Bombyx mori: one gene and its partner. The protein of the gene in region 1 binds, or shares a complex with, the protein of each later gene. Links are inferred from orthologs where the notes say so. Each region holds a gene or a part of one and is shown on either strand. Other genes may lie near its edges.

Evidence for each region. The genes of interacting proteins can lie anywhere in the genome.
Region 2: protein Red (region 1) and zinc finger matrin-type protein 2 share a complex: the UniProt entries of both Homo sapiens proteins name them as parts of the spliceosome B complex. The link is inferred for Bombyx mori from reciprocal best matches to the Homo sapiens genes IK and ZMAT2.

What each region holds. Positions count from the first base shown.
Region 1 is NC_085122.1:6,714,048-6,718,247, reverse strand, and holds the start of protein Red, read right to left. Parts: upstream 2,801-4,200; 5' UTR 1-2,800. Other genes in the region: Mif (macrophage migration inhibitory factor), read right to left, coding at 3,064-3,142. UniProt on the Homo sapiens protein: Involved in pre-mRNA splicing as a component of the spliceosome. Auxiliary spliceosomal protein that regulates selection of alternative splice sites in a small set of target pre-mRNA species. Required for normal mitotic cell cycle progression.
Region 2 is NC_085128.1:9,738,011-9,741,112, reverse strand, and holds zinc finger matrin-type protein 2, read left to right. Parts: upstream 1-1,190; 5' UTR 1,191-1,393; coding exon 1,394-1,508; intron 1,509-1,595; coding exon 1,596-1,837; intron 1,838-2,288; coding exon 2,289-2,528; 3' UTR 2,529-2,579; downstream 2,580-3,102. UniProt on the Homo sapiens protein: Involved in pre-mRNA splicing as a component of the spliceosome.

The DNA.
Region 1 (4,200 bases):
TGAATTGATTTTTATGAAATCAATTTGTTTTAGTTGTGTTGCTCTTAATCTAGAATATGATTACAAATTACGAATTCAAGTAATAGTAGTATTCAAACAGTAGAAAAACTGCAGAAAATACAACTACAGCTTCCTGAGCAGTTGTTTTTGTTGAGTTTATATCAAAATTATCACTATAAATGCATTTATAAAATCTATGACAGCCGCACATATGTAATTAAGTACGAACTAGCTTTTTTTTAAATATTTTATGACCTGGTAACTAAGACCTTTAAGTTCTGTCTTATTTTATTTATATTTTTATGAAAAATGATAATATGGAGTGAAATGAAATGAAATGAAGATGATTAATTTGAGACATTAATCAACTGGGATGAAATTAAATGAAATGAGACAGTATGATATGGGATGAAATATAATCTTAGTAAAATGGTGCTTATTTACTGAGACTTTTCAGTGGACTTTTTGGAGGATCCCGAGAAGCTATGTCCAGCAGTTTTGTCTAATTTTCCCACATTTGTACACTTGCACAGATACTAAACAGTTAATATCGTTTTTACACATCGTTATTACACATTTAAGCCTGAAGAAACACTAAATAGACAAATTAAAACAATTCACACAACTTCACTCTGTACGTATGTACATGTTGCATGAGGCCTCATAAAATTTATGCCAATAATGATATGCCCTAATAAGATTTACTTGAGCTTGAGTTCCTTGGGCTCCTCTTTTTTAATTCTTAGTTCATATATAATACGGTTATCCACGAGATTCCATCCACATATAAAAGCAGTCCACGACCGTGCCGCGTTTATTCTCGGCAGACTCTACCCCATGATCTGTAAGCGGAGTAAAATGTCCTTTCGGAACCAGGTGACTCTGTGTAGTCCTTGTAAGGATCCATTAGATACCTCGCAATAACCCTCGCATAAGACGCCTTTCGCTCTAACACTAGGAGTAGAGACCCCGGTAACCGTGCAATCTAACATAAGCATCAGCCCGTTGAGTATCTCGCCGGATCTTCTCAGCGGGTCGCGATTCCGATCCGGTAGTAGATTCATTCGCGAAGCAGCTACTGTTGAGTTGCTAGGTCTCCCTTGAAGGCGCTCGGGTAGCTGTTAGCAAATCCCGCCTCTTCTGGCTCGCCCACCTGTCCTTGTGAAACTGGAAAGGCCTCCGGGCCACTAGTAAACCCTCAATCATAAAAAAAGAAGATAATACGGTTTAGTTGGTGAACTATCTCAGGGCCCACCTAGAATAAAGTTGCCAGCTTAAACAAAAACCAATGTAAGTGCCACTATTCAGCTTGAAACATGAGGTCAGTTTGAATGGTGTAGTGCCCGTCTCGAAGCAGTATTCTACGACTGCTTTGCAACCGAATTAAGCATGATGGTTAGTATCTATCGATTTGGACTTAATAAGATACCCTACTACACTTAATAAATGTGAGTTGGCGGTCACAATTGTTCATATTCCACTGTTTTGTTCCAAAAATACAGGTTTCCGATTATTTTTATTTATGATCCATCTTATCACTAAAGTTAAAAAGAATACAGTGGAAGTTGAACTCTGTGGCTATGAGTGTCCGTGAAATATAATATAGCGTTACCGTAGCAAACTTTTAAAGAAAATGCAAAAAAGACTGCTTTGCTTTACATTGAGAAATACATTTACAAAATTAAATTAAGATTTAATATAGAATTTTGACGCATCACTACTTTCTTCCATCTACATAGGAATAATATTTTTATTCGTCAGCTCTATTAAAGTTGACTTAAAATTTTACTCTAGTTTTTTGGAATAACTAATTACCCGTAGTCTTGGCTTTTTTAGTTTTTAGTTTTTTAGTTTAGGGCTTTTTTAGTTTCGCCGGGTGTGTAGGCTTCAGAGACTTTTATAACATCTGTGTGCTCAATGCGAGTTTTTTTAAGTTCTGGAGTTAGAACAGTTTCCCTTGGTTTGCCGCTAGGGGCGCTGTTCCAATTCGTACAAATTTGAGTTAACTTTTACGTGATAGAGAAGTTAAAAAACTCGCACTAAACACACTGCGCTAAAAAGAACAGTGCCTTTCTGAAGCTAACATCTGATCGGAATCGCGACCGTCTAAGATCCAGTGCGAAAATCAGTCGGTTGTGGACATACGTTAGTTATGTTGCACGTCGAACGGTGAATGGTCCTTGGAATGCCTAAAAGCACCGATAATGGATCGGGAGGATCCGTAATGACGTGTTTAGGGCGACGCGGCGACGTCGACCGTTTACCATTCGGTCCACAGGGCCGGGTATGTAATTTCCGGCGGCCACAACAAGAGGGTTTTCTTGTCGTACCGCCTTCTCAAAGGGATGATACGATATGATGCATACATAGTATACGTAATTATGGTAAACGCGTAACTATAATACACACCCATTCATAACATGTGTATCTTAGGGTGTAATAATAGTTTACACAATTAAAATCATAATAGGTAATCTACTTTTTATGGTGGTAGGACCTATTGTGAGTCCGCGCGGGTGGGTACCACCACCTTGCCTATTTCTCCCGTGAAGCAGTAATGCGTTTCGGTTTGAAGGGTGGTGCAGCCGTTGTAACTATACTTGAGACCTTAGAACTTTTATCTCAAGGTGGGTGGCGCATTTACGTTGTAGATGTCTATGGGCTCCAGTAACCACTTAACATCAGGTGGGCTGTGAGCTCGTCCACCGATCTAAGCAATAAAAATAAAATAAAAAATAGAGTCGTTTAGTGCGGTAGGGCCCTAAAATTCCTTGGGCCCGCGGTCTGCTCCCAACACCTTGCAGGTCGTCAAGTCTCACATACCCCGCGCGCCTCCTAGGCGCGGGCACCTCGTAGGAGGTTCGGCCAGGCCCGAAAAAAAAACGGCTTCGGTTAGTCACAGACTAATCTAAGGCCAAGGATACATACAATAACTATTTCAAACATCAATAAGAATACTCTAAAGACAATTTTAATATGATTTTAAGCATTTTATAGATTATTATGGAAGCACATCATTTCTCGCTATTTATCCTATGGTTTGGATATTGTTTTTTATAATGTTTATCCAAAGATCGCGTGGAAAGTCGTTCCTTTAAATCCAACGTTGCCGGTAGGTTCGTCTTGGAAGGTTATGTACATGCTGTAAAAAATATAATTTTTGATTAATTCAAAAAAGATAATGAAAGGAATAATCGTACAATACAAATGCGTTTAATTAGATTCTGTTATGCGGATTCAGGTCCAAGAACTCCGACATGACAAACATGACAAACATGACATACATAAGTACATGTATGTATACATATATGTTTTCGCCACTAAGGAGCCAAAAAGGATGAGCTAACTACAGATCTTATTATTACCACGCATAAAAATAATAGATTAAAAACTGTATAGTAGCAAATCATTTTTTTAAAAAGTGACTAGGAAAAAGCATTTTAACGAAAAAATGCGTGGGATAGTAGACGTCAATTATTGTAAATATGTTATTTTAATGAAATATTGGTAGTACTGATAGTGGTCACTATAAAATCTTAAATCTAAAAACCACCTCACGATTTTTTTTTGTCTTTAACTATGGTCATTTCATAGCAAGGAACAATCGCCGTTTTAGTGCACCATATGTGAAAACAGGTTATTAGGTCGATCTATGATTATTTCATAATCCGATCGGTTCCAGAGAAGGAACCTGAGAAACGGCTATCATAAATCCAAGAGAAGCAGCAGCCGCGTACGCGCCTCTGTACTTGGCACAAGACACTACCGTGTTTTAACCGTCCGTACAGTCTTTAAGCCTAAAAATCTCAATCAAGTTACTAATCGGACAATTTTATTAAATTATTTCATTGTTATCGGTTGTTGAGACTATATAGGTCTATGGTCGTTGATAGGTGTGCGAAGTTTCAAGTCAATCCGACATTTATAAAGTGGGATTTCATTCAAAGAATCTGTTACATACAATGCCAAGCTAATAAAAGATTGTTAAAAATAATTGTAAATAGACATACTTTAACAAAAACCGACTACAAATAGAAAAAAATAATATTCCAAAACAAATTAGGTATGTATTATACACACTAAAAACAATAATCATCGAAATGGGTTGGCGTGATATTGAGTTATTCATCTATTTGTCGCGCACGTACATAAGGCAAATTTAAGACTTATATGGTTTTCTTATGGATACCATTATCAGAA
Region 2 (3,102 bases), on another chromosome or scaffold:
AAAAGTTTACTACAAAAAAGGTAAAAATGCAACGTAGGCCGCGAAAAAAAATTGCGATGTTTATGGACCTAGTGCTGTGTCTGTGAAAGTAGCACAAAATTGGTTTAAGCGTTTTCAATACGAAATTTTTATTTTAAGAATTTGTACGTCGCTCTAATCGAATCTTTTTGAAAAAGTGAAAGTGACTGATCGCATCTTTTTGAAAAAGTAAAGCAAGATCGGCATATCAGTAGTTACGACGTAGCTGAAGAACTGGGAATTGACTACAAAACAGCTTTGGCTCATTTGAAAAAAAATAGATACACAAAAAAGTTCGATATTTGGGTACCTCACGAGCTCACTGAAAGAAACCTAATGAACCGTGTACTCATTTGTGATTCTTTATTACGACGTAATGAAACCGAACCATGTTTGAAGAAGCTGATAACTGGTGATGAAAAGTGGATCACGCACGACAAGAACGTACGAAAAAAGTCGTGGTCAAAGGTCCGTCAGGCTTCACAGACTGTGGCAAAACCTGGGTTAACTTGCAACAAGGTGATGCTGTTTGTGTAGTGGAATTGGAAGGACATTATTCATTATGAGCTGTTACCACCAGGCAAGACCATTGATTCTGAACTCTACTGCGAACAACTGATGAGATTAAAGGAAGAAGTTGAGAGAAAGTGGCCAGAATTAATCAACAGAAGGAGTGTGGCTTTTCATCATGATAACAATGTGACCTTACACATCTTTAGCCATTCAGCAAAAATTAAGAGAGCTTGACTGGAAGATGTTAATGCATCCGCTGTTTATCCGTATATCCGTCCTGACCTTGCACCTTCAGGTTTCCACCTGTTTCGGTTCTTCAGAATTCTTTAGGCAGTGTCAGATTAACATCACGAGAGGACTGCCAAAACCAATTGTCTCGGTATTTTGATCAGAAGCCCCAAATTTTTTATAGCAATGGGATCATGTCCCTATTTACAAAATGGCAAAAAGCTATCGAACAAAATGATACCTACATACTTAAGTTAAATGTAAATAAACTATTAAAAAAATTTGTTAATTTTCTTAAAAAATGCGAAGAAACTTTTTCCCCAACCTATTATATTAATTTTCATGTAACTGAATATATAAAAGATTAGGCTGTATAATATATATATGCTTTCGCCTTTCTTGTTAGAAAATGGAAATACTACAACTAATCATTTGTCAGTTTTGTCACTGCTAGTTGTCAATTAGAAACATTTCGTTTGTGTTGTTAAGGATGATTTTCTCGTGTTATTTTTTTAATAGATCTAATTGATTACTCTTCCCTCTGGGTACACGTTTAATATAAAACAAACAAGTGGAGTGTGTAAGAAAATCATAACTTGTAATTGTTGTGAAATAAATACTATAAAATTTAAACATGAGTATGCGCCCCGATGACCACCGAAGAAAATGGGACAAAGAGGAATTCGAGAAAATTGCAGCCGAGCGTTTGAAAGCAGAGCTAGAAGAAGAAGAAAAATCCAAGAAGAAAGGTAAAATATTTGTGTCAACACACTTTGTTACGTTAAAATACAAATTTGACACAATATATAAATGTTTGTTTAATTTTCATTTTCCAGCCACTCCAGTCAAACGTGAACTTCTCAAACAACGTGAATATAAAGTAGATTTGGACTCGAGACTCGGGAAGAGTGTAGTAATCAATAAGAATACGCCAACGTCCCAATCTGGAGGATATTATTGTAATGTTTGTGACTGTGTTGTTAAAGATTCAATAAATTTCCTTGATCACATCAATGGTAAAAAACATCAGAGGAATCTGGGAATGTCCATGAAAATAGAAAGGAGCAGCTTAGATCAGGTGAGCTTACTTTTTCACATGTATGTATATGCATAGTACCAAGCAGGTAAATAGGATTGTTGACTTGCTACTAGATTTATGGTCTGAGATCATCAATTGGCCACTGTTGCATCAAAATAATAACAAACATCATGAACCAACGCTATTATTTTTGTGATTGCCTGAGTTGAGCAAACCTACCATCCCACTCAACTAGAGCACTCAATATTAAAATAATTCTCAACAAATTCTTTCAATCTTAATTTTATCAAGTTCTAATGCTATTGTTAAGGAATAATAAATGTAAAATGTTCAACCAAATAGATGATTTAAATTTCTAGACCACTAATTTGAAATAATCTATCTAACTCATCTAGCTGTTCTCAATTTTATAAATACCATTCAGGTTTTAATAATATTTATTCTATTCTATCATAGCTACTACTACTACATTATATTTGTTTGGTTCCAGGTAAAAGCAAGATTTGCACTCAATAAACGAAAGTTGGAAGAGAAAAAGCGTGAATATGAATTAGACACAAGATTAAAGGAAGCCGCTGAAGAAGAAGCTCGTGTGAAAGAGCTACGTAGGGAGAGACGTCGGGACAAGAAACGGAAGTTAATGGAGAATGATGAAATAGATGATACACCAGCACCTTCTGAATTAGCACAAATTATGGGGTTTTCTGGCTTTGGAGGATCTAAAAAATGATATGTTTTAAAATGTAAAGCTTATATTAATAAATACTGTGTGGTACAATAATGTTTCATTGAATGTTTTAATTATTATTTGGCTAATAATTCTATTTGCCCTGACCTTGTTTTATCAAGGTATAATTATGAACTTTGATTTAGCAGACAGGATAATATTACCATATTTATTTGGAAAAGGCTAGAAAAAACGACACCATGTAAATGTAACATGTTCCAAATGCTTTTTCCAATTAAAAAATATAAATTATAAGGCTACAATGTCCACTACCGGACTTGGTATGAGGGCATGTTTTTCATGTGCTAGATGAAAGCTTTTCACTGACTCCAGTAGTCCTGTATATGTCAAAACTCACATCAACTTTAGTTTTTGGGATTTGGGATTTTGGGATATGTAAATCGCACGTGACTACTTTGACTGACTGACTTTTCGAGGACAATAAACAATTCAACAACAAAATCAGTTGGCTGGGCGTTAAAAGAGCGCTCATCTCTCTACTCTAAGTCGTTTCTGTTGAGTCTGGGCTAAGATAACGATCTCGCCCAAATCTATAAATTAAAATAAGACATGACTT